2 linked regions of the Anolis sagrei genome follow. The protein of the gene in region 1 purifies or fractionates together with the protein of each later gene. This does not show direct contact. Links are inferred from orthologs where the notes say so. Each region holds a gene or a part of one and is shown in the gene's direction. Other genes may lie near its edges. The genes, in order: SLC39A7 and FAM174A.

Region 1 (7,837 bases):
ATGTTAGCCACCCCGAGTCCCCTGGGGGAGATGGTGGCGGGGTATAAATAAAGTTTAATAATAATAATAATAATAATAATAATAATCTATATAAATAAAAATGTAATATTCATTTGTGGGATTAACATAACTCAAAAACCACTGGAAAACTGACACCAAATTTGGCCACAAGACACCTCTCAGGCCAATGTATGTCCTTCACTAAAAATAATGATGATTTTGTCATTTGGGAGTTATAGTTGCTGGGATTTATAGTTAACCTACAATCAAAGAGCACTCTGAACTCCATCAATGATGGAATTGAACCAAACATGGCATACAGGACTCCCTTGACCAATAGAAAACACTAGAAGGGTTTGGTGGGCATTGACTTTGAGTTTAGGAGTTGTAGTTCGCCTACATCCAGAGAGCACTGTAGACTCAAGCAATGATGGATCTGGACCAAACTTGGCATGAATATTCCATATGCCCAAATATGAACACAGAAAGAGTTTGGGGAAATAGACCTTGACATTTGGGAGTTGTAGTTACTGGGATTTATAGTTCACCTACAATCAAAGAGCATTCTAACTCCACCAATGACACAATTGGGACAAATTTCCCACACAGAACCCCCATGACTAACAGAAAATACTTAAGGCCATCCAATCCAACTCCCCTCACCAGGGCAAGAAAACGTAATCAAAGCCCTCCTGACAAAGAGCCATCCAGCCATAGACATAGATAGATCAATATGATTCACACAGAGAGAGAGATATAGCATCATAGATTTGAAAGGGATCCTTAAAAAAGGACAATTATGTTGCATGTTCCAGAGTAGGCAAACCAGGCAATCTCCACATCGACACTGACAAAGAAACAGCAAAAAAAATACTGTTTACCCACAAGCATATAGACATTACATATATCAGAAACCAGGACTCCAGTTCACCCGACTGGGCCACAGCAACGCCTGGCAGGGGATGGCTAGTAATAATAATAAATACTATGGGATGATTTTACATTGAAATACCTTGTTTTGGGTTGACATACCTATCTATTAGTCTAAACGATGAGGACATGATTCAAGCTGCAATTCAAATCATACTTTAAATCTTACAGGACAATCGTAGTGTGTATCTGTGTGCAAATAGGTGTCTTGTGTCCAAATTTGGTGTCAATTCGTCCAGTGATTTTTGAGTTATGTTAATCCCACAAATGAACACTACATTTTTATTTATATAGATGACTGTATTACATGTATTGTGTTTGAGAGCAGTTGCTCCTTTTCATTTCAATCTATGTGAATACATTGAATTACACTGAACTATATACTGAATATCTATGGGGGGACGATGCCTGGCTCGAGAGCAGTATGTGTGAAAAAGATCTTGGAGTCCTCGTGAACAAGAAGTTAAACATGAGCCAACAATGTGATGTGGCGGCAAAAAAAGCCAATAGGATTGTGGCCTGCATCAATAGGAGCCTAGTGTCTAGATCTAGGGAAGTCATGCTCCCCGTGCTCTATTCTGCCTTGGTCAGACCACACCTGGAATACTGTGTCCAATTCAGGGCACCACAATTGATGAAAGATATTGACAAGCTGGAATGTGTCCAGAGGAGGGCAAATAAAATGATGAAGGGTCTGGAGAACAAACCCTATGAGGAGCGGCTTAAGGAGCTGGGCATGCTTAGCCTGAAGAAGAGAAGGCTGAGAGGAGACATGATGAGGGCCATGCATAAATATGTGAGAGGAAGTCATAGGGAGGAGGGAGCAAGCTTGTTTTCTGCTTCCTTGGAGACTAGGACGCAATGGAACAATGGCTTCAAACTACAAGAGAGGAGATTCCATCTGAACACGAGGAAGAACTTCCTGAGTGTGAGAGCCGTTCAGCAGTGGAACTCTCTGCCCCGGAGTGTGGTGGAGGCTCCTTCTTTGGAAGCTTTTAAACAGAGGCTGGATGGCCATCTGTCAGGGGTGCTTTGAATGCAATATTCCTCCTTTTTGGCAGGGGGTTGGACTGGATGGCCCAGGAGGTCTCTTCCAACTCTTTGATTCTAGGATTCTAAGCCGGCCTTCAATTGTGTTTACATTCTGACAGCTGTTTTAGCTCTCCCTTTGGTAGGTCGTTCCACAGTCTTGGAATCACAGAATACTAGAGTTGGAAAAGGCTACACAGGACCTTTTGGCTACACCCCCCTTTGTGCCAGGCAGGAGAAGCACCCTCGGAGCTCTCCCGACAGATGGCCATCCAGCCCCTGCTTCAAAGCCTCCATGGAAGTGCGAGGCAGAGAGTTCCTCTGCTGAACAGCTCTCTTTCCAACTTGTCAATATCTCTCTTGAATTGTGGTGCCCAGAATTGGACACAATATTCCAGGTAGAGTGGTCTAACCAAAGCAGAATAGAGCATGGGGAGCAGGACTTCCCTAGATCTAGACACTAGGCTCCTATTGATGCAGGCCAGAATCCCATTGGCTTTTTTTGCCGCCACTTCTCATTGTTGGCTTATGTTCACCTTCCCGTCCATGAGGACTACAAGATCTTTTTCACACGTACTGCTCTCCAGCCAGGCATTGTCCCCCATTCTGTATCTTTGCATTTCGTTTTTCCTGCCAAAATGGAGTATCTTGCATTTGTCACTGGAGGCAAGGAAGCTCATGAGGGGAAGGAGGGTGGGTGTGCCAATGCCAGATTTACTCAGGGATTTTGTTGGATGGAGGCCTCACCAAACTATAAATTCCCAGGTTTCCTAATGAGGGTAGGTACCCGTAAAATGGCAGTACACCTATTCCAGTGTTTCCCAACCTTCCTAGTGCCGCGACCCCTTAATACTTTTCCTCATGTTGTGATGACCCCCAACCATAACATTATTTTGCTACTTCATAACTTTAATTTTGCTCCCGTTATGAATCATAATGCAATTATCTGATAAGCAGGATGTATTTCCATTCACTGGACCAAAGCGGAATAGAGGGGTAGCATTACTTCCCTGGACCTAGACACTATGCTCCTATTGATACAGGCCAAAATCCCACTGGCTTTTTTTGCCGACACATTCTTCCTCTCTGCCCCGGAGGGAGTGTGGTGGAGGCTCCTTCTTTGGAGGCTTTTAAACAGAGGCTGGATGGCCATCTGTCAGGGGGGCTTTGAATGCAATATTCCTGCTTCTTGGCAGAATGGGGTTGGACTGGATGAGGGCCCAGGAGGTCTCTTCCAACTCTAGGATTCTATTATTATCATTATTATTATTATTATTATTATTAAGCAGAGGCTGGCCATCTGTCAGGGGTGCTTTGAATGAGATTTTCCTGCTTCTTGGCAGAATGGGGTTGGACTGGATGAAGGCCCAGGAGGTCTCTCCCAACTCTAGGATTCTGGAGTGGGATCTCCCTCCTGTCATTGGAAGCCATGGTTCCATTCGAGGCCTAGTCAGAGGCAGGAAGCCTACTCTCTCTCCTCTCCGGGCTGTCAACAACACCCACCCACCTCCCTACCCGACTCTGACGCCAGGCGGGGGAGAAAGAAGCCTCCCTTTTTCCCCGCAAAGGCCTCCTCACCTGCCCCGGGCCTCCCGGCGTCGCCCATCATCCTCCTCCCCGCCTTCGCCTCCGCCTTCGCCTTCACTGCCTTCGCCGCCTCAGCTTGGCCTGGGCCTGCCCACAATGCACCGCGCGCCGGGCCTGGCTGGGGGCCTCTCGCGCGGCGCCTTCCTTTCCCGTCAGGCAGCGCGGCGGCGCCCCCCTCCCTCTCTCCCTCCCTCCCTCCCCTTCGCCTTGGCCAGACTCCCAGCCTGCCCCGCGCGCGCGATCGCTGGCCTCCGACGAGACCAAGGCCTACCTCTCTCTCTCCCTCACTCACCGTTGGCCATCCTCCCACAATGCACCGGGCCAGGAGACAGCCCCGCCCCCTCCTCCCCCCCTTTCCTCTCTCCGCATGAATGTGCTCTCCTCCACCAGAAAGAAAGATGGCGGCGGCGGCGTCTGAGGTAACGAAGGGCCATCTTTGTTGAGGGCATACCTCACAACTCCCCCCTAATAAATGGAAACGAAACGTCAGAAAAGAATGCTTCTGGAACAAGAGTCATGCCACACGAAAGACCTACAACCACCAAGCCTTGTTTTATTTATTTACCCCGCCCCAGGGTGACAATTTCCCTAAAACAAACCGCCGCCATGTTTGTTGAGGGCGACAATACCTCCGTTGGCGTTTATCAGCCATGTTTGTCGCCGGTTCCGCCATATTGCGAAAGGGTAAATGTTGGGAAATTAAGTGACCGCCATGTTTGTTGAGGGCGACAATCCTTCGGTTGGCCGGCTCCGCCATATTGTGAAAGGGCAAAGGGGGGAATTGATTGATCGCCATGTTTGTTGAGGGCGACAATCTATGGTTGGCGTTTTCAGCCATGTTTGTCGCCGGTTCCGCCATATTGCGAAAGGGCAAAAGTTGGTAAATACATTGACCGCCATGTTTGTTGAGGGCGACCATCCCTCGGTTAGCGTTTATCAGCCATGTTTGTCGCCGGCGCCGCCATATTGCGAAAGGGCAAAAAGGGGAAATTGATTGACCGCCATGTTTGTTGAGGGCGACAATCCCTCGGTTGGCGTTTTCCGCCATATTGCTAAAGGGCAAAAGTTGGGAAATTGATTGATCGCCATGTTTGTTGAGGGCGACAATCCATCGGGTGGCATTTTCAGCCATGTTTGTCGCCGGCGCCGCCATATTGAGAAAGGGCAAAAGTTGGGATTTGAATGAAGGGAGGGGCATTTCTCGCGAGGTTTGGACCGAGTGGGCGTGGCCTAGGTGCCACGTCAGGTTTTAAGCCCGGTGTTGCTAACGGATCCGGGAGAGCGGAGTGAGGGATCTGGAGAAAAGGGTCACCGGGGGACGCTCTGGCCTCGTTCTCCCCGCGACTCTATGCCCTTGGAGGACTGCAGCCCCAGAAGAAGGTGAAGGGATTCAGCTTATGTGAAAGTTTATGTACTATTATTATAATTATATTATATTATTATTATATTATTGTATTATTATAATATATTATTATATTATATTGTATTATTATAATATTATTATTATATATAGAAAATATATAATATAATATATATTATATTAAGCAGAGGCTGGATGGCCATCTGTCTTGAGGGCTTGTGTGGTGTCCCTGCCTGGAAGGCAGAAGGGGGCAGGGCTGGATGTTCTTTAGGGGCCTCTTCCAACGCCCTTAACACTCTTATTTCTTCCCTCCAGAGACAATGGTCAAGATGGTGGCGTGCCGGTGGCCGAGGACCGTGGTGACCCTCCTGGTGGTCTGTTCCGTGTTCCTGCTTCTGCTGAGGACGTCATCTGCACAGCACGAAGGCTTCCACGGCCATGCGCACGAGGACTTGCACCACGGACACAGCCACGACGGCCTTCACCATGGCCACAGCCATGAGGATTCGCACCACAGCCACGACGGCCACGGTCACACGCACGAGCACCTCTGGCGCGACCCCGCGGAGCACCACCATCATGATGACCATGAGGACTTCCACCACGGCCACAGCCACGCTGGCCACGGCCACACTCACGAGCACCTCTGGCGCGATCCCTCTGAGCACCACCACCATGACCATGAGGACTTCCACCACGGCCACAGCCACTCGCACGAGGGACCCCGCCACGATCACAGCCACAGCCACCTTCATGGGCATTCGCACGAGGACCACGTTGGTGGCCCCAGCCAGGGCGGGGCCTTCCCCGACCACGAGAGGCCCCCTCCCAGGAGAGAGAAGCTGGAGACAGCGTGGCTGTGGACTTACGTGAGTCTGGGGACTCTTTGCAGAGGAGGGATTGGTTCCATCATTATGATATCACGGGGTTGGGAGGGAAACGCCACATCACACTCTTGGCGCATAGTCCTCAGCCTGTGATCCCCTGAGACTCCCAGGATCTCCTTTCAAGCCAGTCACACCCGCCCTAGTTCTCTGCATTTCATTCGTATTGCCTGACATTAAGTCCAGTCGAGTCCAACTCTGAGACTCTGGTGCCCATCTCCATTTCTGTTGGAGTTCAGCTTGTGATTGTGTTTCAGGATCAGGGTGCTTTGGATTGGGAAGTGATGCCAATGAATTTCAAGATGGCAATGATACCGATGCAGAGAAGGACCAGGAGACCCTTTTGCAAAGTGTAGTTTCCCATGAGAATGTCCCAGAAGGGTGTGGGGATGATAGTGTACTCCCTGAATTCCTACCAGAGAGTTCCCAGCATTCGGGGCTTGAAAACAACTGGGCACCTGACCCAGCTGCAAAACCTAATGAGCAAATAGATAGGTGGCAGGAGATTAGTCAAAACAGGCAGACCGAACAGGCAAACCACAATGGTGTGGTGTTTACAGTCAGGGCTTTTCCTGCCCTGCCTAGAATCAAAGAGTTGGAAGAGATCTCGTGAGCCATGCAGTCCTGCATAGAATCATAGAATCATAGAGTTGGAAGAGACTTCCTGGGCCATCATCCAGTCCAACCCCATTCTGCCAAGAAGCAGGAATATTGCATTCAAATCACCCCTGACAGATGGCCATCCAGTCTCTGTTTCAAACCTTCCAAAGAAGGAGCCTCCACCACACTCCGGGGCAGAGAGTTCCACTGCTGAACGGCTCTCACAGTCAGGAAGTTCTTCCTCATGTTCAGGTGGAATCTCCTCTCTTGTGGTTTGAAGCCATTCTTCCATTGCGTCCTAGTCTCCAGGGAAGCAGAAAACAAGCTTGCTCCCTCCTCCCCGTGGCTTCCTCTCACATATTTATACATGGCTATCATATCTCCTCTCAGCCTTCTCTTCTTCAGGCTAAACATGCCCAGCTCCTTAAGTCGCTCCTCATAGGGCTTGATCATTTGAGTCGCCCTCCTCTGGACACATTCCAGCTTGTCAATATCTCTCTTGAATTGTGGTGCCCAGAATTGGACACAATGTAATTCCAGATGTGGTCTAACCAAAGCGGAATAGAGCATGGGGAGCATGACTTCCCTGGATCTAGACACTAGGCTCCTCCTGATGCAGGCCAAAATCCCATTGGCTTTTTTTGCCGCCACATCACATGTTTAACTTCCTCCCCACGAGGACTCCAAGATCTTTTCCACACATCCTGCTCTTGAGCCAGGCCTCATCGTCCCCCATTCTGTCTCTTTGCATGTGGTTTTTCCTGCCAAAGTGGAGTATCTTGCATTTGTCACTGTTGAACTTCCTTTTCTTAGTTTTGGCCAATCATCTCTCTAATCTGTCAAGATCGTTTTGAATCCTGTTCCTGTCCTCTGCAGTGCAACAGTATGCTTCATTTGACTATATTTCCCATACTTGGAACTTTTATCCCCTCGTTAAGCTATCCCAAGCACTCAGAAATTGGTTTCGCTTTAATTGAGATTCCCTTATCTTTTTCTGTCGGATTCTGGCAGGGCGCTGAAGCCACTGTTCGGTTTGCCTGTTTTGACTAATCGCCTGCCGCCTGTCTATTTGCTCATTGAGTTATAGGGAGACGTGATTACACAAATAGCCTGGACCCAATCCATTTAGGGCTTTATAGATGATGACCAGCACTTTGTATTTAGCCCTGTTGAGATTCCTAGCCGCTGCCCAGCCCTGATTTGCATGCCGGCCCGCAGGGGGAAGGGTTTGGGTGCATCTGCACTGCAGAATGAATGCGGTTTCACACCACTTGAGCCTCTCTGGCTCACCGCTAGGGAATCATGGGAGTCGCAGTTTGTTTACAATTTGGAAGAGGGAGCTAAAGCTTTTGCAGAGCTGTAACTCTTGTGATCCTGTTGCCTTGACAGTTGAAGTGGCGTCAAAAGTGCGTCAGTTCTCCAATGTGGACACTAGGGCTGGTCAATT
Region 2 (8,016 bases), about 250 Mb from region 1:
ATCATAAAGTTGGAAGTGACCACAATAGCCATACAGTCCAGCCTCCTGCCATGTAGGGACCGGCAAAGCACTCCTGACAGATGGCCATCCAGCCTCTGCTTAAACCCTCCTCAGAAGAAGACACCACCATGCTCTGAGGCAGCATGTTATCACATTGGAACAGCCCTTACCATCAGGACTTTTTCCTATTGTTTAGGTGGAATCTTTTCCTGCAATTTGAATCCACTGCTCCATGTCCTAGCTTTTAAGGTGACAGAAACACGTCACTTTTCATTTGCAAAACCTTGGATTTAGTATGAAGATATGAAGAGTAAGAAGGAAAATTCATTAAAGCACTGTTCTTTTACCACAAAATTTTCATGGATCTTGCCATATTTAATATGTTTGAATCCTATTTAAGCTACTTATGGTTTTAATATCCTGTCCTGAAATTCCACAATAAAGGTTGGAATTTAAATATCCTATTAAATAGATAGATAATGCAACAATGGATAAAAGAAATTTCTTTTCAACCCCATACTGCTGCCATGGGGGAGTGTTTGAATGAGACACAAGAGGCCAATGAACATCTGGCATATCCAAAACGAAGGCATACATATATGCAATCCTGAGTTACATGCACTTATGCTACCAACTGGCTTCCAGTTCTGGCTGTTTAGTTTTTGCGTAGTGTGCAGGTATATTAATGCAAATATAGGTAATACTCCAGATGTTGCTCAATAACAACTCTCAGCATTCCTCAACATTACTATGGTGACAAAGGATGCATGAAGTCCAACATCTGGAGCACCACATTCTTCCTTTGCCTTCTCCAAGTTGCTACAAACCAAAAATAAAAATAACCTGTAAAAATGGATTTATTGCAATCCAAGATTAGTAATATTTTAAGACATTTCTCTAAGCTTTGATAAAATTCAGAATTATTATTTTTTTAATTCAGGCATTTTTTGATTATCATATACAAGTAAGCGTGCAACTCTGGGCTACATTCCGCCTTTAAAAAAACAATTTCCAACACAATCTGAATATTATGATTGTAAGTAATGGAGAAGCTTCGCATAGACATTTTCTGCGAAAAAATGAAGATGCAGTAAGAAATTCTATAAAATTCCCTGACTACGGCTATTAAACTCATTATAATTCCAAATAGCCCTTCCCTTAGTTGATCTTCTGAACAACCAAAGAATGTAGACACGTCCAGTTAAATGGATCAGTGACTTAATCACATACAACAAAATCAGTGTTTCTACACATGTAAGAATCGGCAACCCACGGAGCTCATCACATGATGCAAGCCTCAACTGTGGGTTCCAGGTATTTAACCGTTTTGCAAGTGTGGGTTTCCCCCACAATTTCTAAATCAATTGGCAATGAACTTGTTTTCATTTCCCCGCATTGAGACATGTAAGAACACCCAATTTAACATGTGATGGGAATCCACCCTCCTTGCCCATTTGTAAATTCTCAGGCTGAAAAGCACACCTGGTTCTCCAAAACTGGGATTAATGTATAAAACATTCACATATTTACAGTATTTGGAGTTCTTTTAGAGAAACTGGCAAGTCTGGATTTTGAACTCAGCAACATTAATTGGCATCAATTATATGTCACTATATTTTTTCTTCTTATTTCCATAAACAAATATTATATCAGAACCATAATTCAGCACTCTCTGCTCCAGGCTTATCACAAAATCCATATTAATCGCATTTCATGGCAAGTCTTCGAGGCAGAGTTTTCTTGAGATCAAACTATTAGTATTATTATTTATTCACTTCCTGTAGTAAGTGTCAGTACAAAGTGGTTAACAATTGGTATCTCATTTGTCCTCTTAATAACCCTGAGAGCTGGTTAGACTGAGAGTACATGATTTGCCCAAGGCAATACAGCAAGTGCCATGGTCCAGCAGTAGAAAAATCTGCAGCAACCTAATGCGACTTTCACAGGCATATTTTGGTAGCATTTATTCAGTGGAGCTTTGCTATTGCTGTCCTCTGAGGCTGAAAGTGTGTGCAACTTGCTCAAGATCACTCAATGAGTTTTCAGGGCTGAGTGAGGATTTGAACCCAACACTCAATCCACTACCCCATGCCAGCTCAATCTGTTATTCTCAGGGCACATCTACACTGTATAATGAATGCATGTTGACACCACCTTAACTGCCAGGTTTTGATGCTATGGAATCCTGGGAGTTATAATTTTACAAGGTCTTCACCCTTCTCTGCCAAAGAGTACTGGTGCCTCACCAAGCAACGAATCCCAGGATTCCATAGCACTGAGCCATGACAGTTCAAGTGGTGTCAAACAGCATTATTTCTACAGTGTAGATCAGGGATTCCCAAGCTAAGGTCAATGGGCAGGATGCAGCCCTCCAAAGTCATTTACCCAGGCCTCACCTTTTAGACCAGTGGTTCTTAACCTGTGGGCCATGGAACACCAGTGGGCCGTGAGGACAAAAATCTGGACTGCTCCTTCCTCTTTGTTTTATTTTATTTATTTTATTACTGATCCTTTCGCACCGCCTGCCACTCCTTCCCTTTCGCTGACCAGTCCCAACCCCTTGGATAGACCACATCAGCTCCAGATTATCAAATATGGTTTTCTGTGGGCAGGCAGATGGCAACTACTGGATGGAATATGTTCTGTATCAGAAACTAGAGCTGATGTAGTCGATCCAATGTAATTTTCTACATCAACACTCCAAATAACCAAACCAAATCTAAAGTTGACCAAAAACTGATTCTTAACCCTTTTGGGACTAATGTTGGAGAGCGGTCCCTGGTCAAAGTGGTCTATGTTCAGTGTTCCCTGGTCAAGAAAAGGTTAGGAACCACTGCTTTAGACTTAGGGTTATTACACTGATTCTGCAACTGCATTGGCTACCAATAGAACATCGGATCTCTTACAAGATAATGATCCTGACATTTAGAGCTCAAAATGGCCAAGGACCCGCCTCATTCCTTTTCTCCATCAGTGGTCACCTCGATCCACCCAGGAAAATCTCCTATACATACCGGGCCCTAGGGAGGTACACCTGGAAGCTACAAGATGTAGAGCTTTTTTGACCTATGCTCCAATTCTGTGGAACTCATTGCCTCCATATATTAGAGCAATGTCGGAGTTGCGACCTTTTGTAAAGGCACTGAAGACTTGGCTGTTTGGTTGTGCATTTAAGTAATCAGATCTAATTTGCCAAATAGTCACTGTTGGATGTTTTTATGTTGAATGTTTTTATATTGTGTAAATGCTATTTTAGATTGTAAGTCGCTCGTAGCACCTTGGTGGAGAGCGACTAAGAAATAAAGTGAAGTGAAGTGAAGTGAAGTGAAGGGTTACCCTAAATCTGAAACAACTTGAAGGTACACAGCGACAACAATCCTAATTTACTGACTGTCAGCCAAAAGCAGGCTCACACTTCTCATTAAAACACTGGTATGTTTATGTTGGTTAAAATGTTCTTCATTTTAAACATTGTATTGATCTTTTGTGTGTGTTTTATGCACTACAAATAAGATGTGTGTACTGTGCATGGGAATCTATAGTCCAGCCCCCAACAGTCTGCGGGACCGTCAATTGGCCCTCTGCTTAAAACATTCAAATCTAGGATACTATATCTCTGTGTGTGTGTCGTTATCTATCTGTATCTATAGCTGGATGGCTCTTTGTCAGGAGGGCTTTGATTACATTTTCTTGCTCTAGTGAAGGGAGTTAGACTGGATGGCCTTAAGTATTTTCTGTTGGTTCTGGGGGTTCTGGGAGGGAAGTTTGCCCCCAATTCTGTCGTTGGTGGGGTTCAGAATGCTCTTTGATTGTAGGTGAACTATAAATCCCAGCAACTACAACTCCCAAATGTCAGGGTCTATTTTCCCCAAACTCCATCTGTGTTCATATTTGGGCATATGGAATATTCATGCCAAGTTTGGTCCAGACCCATCATTGTTTGAGTCCACAGTTCTCTCTGGATGCAGGTGAACTACAGCTCCCAAACTCAACGTACAGCCACCAAACCCTTCCTAGTGGTTTCTGTTGGTCATGGGAGTCCTGTGTGCCACATTTGGTTCAGTTCCATCATTGGTGGAGTTTGATTGTAAGTAAACTATAAATCCCAGCAACTACAACTCCCAAATGACAAAATCATTTTTTGAGTGATGGTCATTCCTTGGGTTAGTAGGTGTCTTGTGGCCAAATTTGGCGGCAATTCGTCCAGTGATTTTTGAGTTATGTTAATCCCACAAACGAACATAACATTTTTATTTATATAGACTAGCTGTCCCCTGCCATGCGTTGCTGTGGCCCAAGCAGTAAGAACCAGACCTTGAAACTGCTGGGTCATTAAATGCTAATTAAGGTGGCCAATTGAAAAATTGTATAAATTGTGGGAGTTGAAGTCCCCAAAACCTGGAGGGCCAAAGCTTGTCCACACCTGGTCTACACTACCCATATAATGCAGTTTCAAACTCCATTATATGGCAGTACAGAAGTGGGGGGCGCACTGTAATTCTCAGGCTGAAAAAAACACCTAGTTCTAAGAATTAATGTCTAAAATGTGCACATATTTGTATTCTTTGGAGTTCTTTTAGTCGACAGCAGTGGTTCTCAACCTGTGGGTCCCCATGTGTTTTGGCCTACAACTCCCAGAAATCCCACCAGTTTACCAGCTGTTAGGATTTCTGGGAGTTGGAGGCCAAAACATCTGGGGACCCACAGGTTGAGAACCACTGGTCTACAGAAACTCAGTGGGAGAAGCGCGATGTAGTTCTGCGCATGCGCCCCGCCCAGCCAGCCTGCCAGGCAGGGAGAGAGGAGGCTACTCAAGGAGTTCTATCTAGCAGCGCGATGAAGTTCTGCGCATGCGCCCTGCCCGCTTTCCAGATGAGAGAGGAGACGACTGAAGCCTCTCGGCGTCCATGGCAACGGCCTGGGCCTTCCGGAAGAGCGAGCACTTCCGGTTCCGGTTCCTCCTCCCTGGGCGGCGTGGGGGGCCGAGTTAGGGACGGGGCGCCATGCGGCAGCTCTCGCCGCTGCCTCCCCGCACCCTGACGCCCCTGCCGGGCCTGCTTGTGGCGGCGGTGCTGGCGCTGGCCCTGCTCCGCGGGGAAGCGGCCCCTGCCCCGGAGCCCCGCTCCCCTCCTCCGAAGCAGGCTTTGCCCTCGGAGCAGTTAGGCCGCGAAGAGCTCCCCGAGGCCTCTCCGGACAGCACCGGCCCTCCCGACGCGGTGCCCAGTGGCAATGGAAGCAGTAGCAGCAGCAGCAGCCTGGCCGCCGTGCCGCCGCCTCCCCAGGCCAGCCCGCCCATGACCCAGCGCGCCCTCTCGGTGCTCGTCCTCGCCAGCGCCGCCCTCATCGTCTACTTCGTCATCCGGACCGTCCGGTGAGCCCCAAGGGAGGGTCCCGCCTCTCCACCTTGACTCCACGCTCACTGCTTACTGCTTCGGATCCCAGGAGTTGTAGTTTTGCAAGGCCTTCCCCTTTCTAGTTCCGCACAAAACTACAGCTCCCAGGATTCCATAGCCGTGAAAGTGGGGTCCCTCGAAATCCCAGTTTAATTAATTAATGCCATGCCGGCATGAAGTAGAATCGTGGGTGTTGTAGTTTCACGGTTTTTTTTTTAGCCAAATTGCAAAATGTATTGAACCCATAACACTGGGTCAGGCCAGATAAAGTGGTGTCAAACTGCATTCATTCTCCAGTGCAGATACACCAAGGTTATATCTGAGTGAGAGATTGGCTCAGGCGTGGGAAAACTTCAGCTCTTCAGGTGTTTTTGACTCCAACTCCCACAATTCCTAACAGTCATTGGCAAACTTGGGGCCCTCTGGGTGTTTTGGACTTCAACTCTCACAATTCCTAACAGCCATGGGCAAACTTGGGGCCCTCCGGGTGTTTTGGACTCCAACTCCCACAATTCCTAACAGCCGGCTGTTAGGAATTGTGGGCTTCAGGCACCACTTCTGAGGGCCAGATCTATTCTCCTCTGCCTACCTTTCCTTTAGACCTCTGTAAGGATCTTCTTTAAAGTTTGATCCAAAGCCTGAGTGTCTTTGTGACAAATTCTGATAAGTTTGACATGAGTGTAATTAAAGATTGTAAAATCCAAAGTAGGCTGCAGTTTATAACCCATAATACTTCTAATCAGATTGGTCCTCAGACCATAGAGCCTATCTTAGTTTTGGTCCTTACTAGCATCATGAGTTTGTTAGCTTGCTGGGATTTAGGGAAGTTGAAGTCCAAAATACCTTGAGGACCAAAGGTTGAGACTATCTAGTGTGATCAACCAAATATTATGGTAACCCATTCCTCTCCCAGTGATCCATGGTTTTACGTATTTTCATGATCCACACCAGTAGTTCTCAATCTATGGGTCCCCACATGTTTTGGTCTTCAACGCCCACAATTCTTAACTGGAGGACCAAAGATTGGGAACCATTGTTTTATGCAGTTGGAGTGCCACATCCACAGATTACACGTCCAAGGATTCCACCTTCCGTGGTGGGAGAATATTCTCAAAATAATCCAAAAGACAAACTGATTTTACTACTTTCTGTCACTTTACTGCACTATTGTATATAACGGGACTCGAGCATTCACAGATTTTGGTGTCCATTGGCGATCTTGGAACCAAACACCAACAGATACCCAGGGCCCACTGTATTCAGTCAAAATTGTTAGCAGTACACCATCATGGCGTTCTCTCCCCATAAGATTATGGGGATATTAAGATTATGTCACTGCTTTTCTATTTTATTTTAGGTGTGGAGAGCTCATAGTCCTAAGATGCATCAGTTCTCAAAAGCTCAAACTATTATGGGCAGTGGCAAAGTCCAAGACATCTGGCATGCAACGGGTCCCTATTTCTGCCTTGCACACTGGGGGCCCACAAATATTTCATATACAGTTACAGCACTATGACTGCCATTGTTCCATTTTTCTGGAATCCAGGGGTTCATGATTTTTCGAGGCTCTGAACTCTTAATGTTCTTCTCCCAAATTGCCAACCCCATACCTTAGAGTGGAACAATAGCCGTTAAAAGTGGAATAATGGTTCTTTAATTCCATTGTGTGGATGGTATTCATTGTGTGGATGGTAATCTTATCACCAGGAATGGAAATTCACTGTGAGTTATCATGGCAAAATGGTGTATCCACTGAAGCTTTATCACCAATCCTTATTTCCACAACAAGCCGAATTTTTCAAAATCCAATGATCACATGGACGGAAAGTGAGGTGAAATCTGAACAGGAGCACAGACAGAAAAATAAATACTGCAGGGGTGCTAACTCTTCCTTATTCTATCCAAAGCTAAAAAAAAAAAAAAATAGGCTGGAGTTACACTTAAAAATGTGCCTGTTCCAACTTACATACACATTCAACCTAAGAACAAACACACAGAACCTATCTTGTTCGTAATTTGGGGACTGTCTATAGATAATAGTGAAACCTTTTGAAATGAATGATCTCAATTAAATGTTTCCATAGAATTGCCCTGGAGGACTTACGAATTCTGGATATGCAAAACCATGGATAATAGCTAACACTATTAAAGTGAAATACTTTTGATCCAAGTATTGTAATAGAGTCACACGTGAGGACCCACACATTCCTAAAAGAGACATATTTTGTTGGGTGTGGATCAATGAAGCTGGAGACACTGGTCCTGAAAATATGGGGGTCCTACTTTATTTGAATAAGGAAGCAAGGATACCCCAATTAGTTGTACTACACCTTTCAACATCTAGTAATTTGTGAAGAAAAGTTTTATGTTGTAAAATAAAGTTTGTATATTCAGGTTGCCTGTTGCCTTATAGCAACAATCCTTCATCTGAAATATAGCCTACAGCATGTAATCTTTGTTGGTAGTCTCTCATCCAAGTACTAACTAGAGTTGACTCTCTTTAGCTTCCAAGATGAGATGGGATCTAGTATCTTCGGGATATTTAGGCTTCCACTGCACAGAATTTCAGTCCAAGGCTTCAGTCCAATCTTTTACCCATATAGATAGCTTCCTAATTGGAACT

Evidence for each region.
Region 2: the proteins of SLC39A7 (region 1) and FAM174A purify together in Homo sapiens (co-immunoprecipitation; 3 studies listed by BioGRID and IntAct, with this or other methods). This does not show direct contact. The link is inferred for Anolis sagrei from reciprocal best matches to the Homo sapiens genes SLC39A7 and FAM174A.

The regions. Positions count from the first base shown.
Region 1 is NC_090022.1:1,687,493-1,695,329, reverse strand, and holds the start of SLC39A7 (zinc transporter SLC39A7), read left to right. Parts: upstream 1-4,749; 5' UTR 4,750-4,926; intron 4,927-5,221; 5' UTR 5,222-5,226; coding exon 5,227-5,775; intron 5,776-7,837. Other genes in the region: RXRB (retinoic acid receptor RXR-beta), read right to left, coding at 3,538-3,568. UniProt on the Homo sapiens protein: Transports Zn(2+) from the endoplasmic reticulum (ER)/Golgi apparatus to the cytosol, playing an essential role in the regulation of cytosolic zinc levels.
Region 2 is NC_090022.1:251,213,759-251,221,774, reverse strand, and holds the start of FAM174A (membrane protein FAM174A), read left to right. Parts: upstream 1-4,932; 5' UTR 4,933-5,003; coding exon 5,004-5,371; intron 5,372-8,016.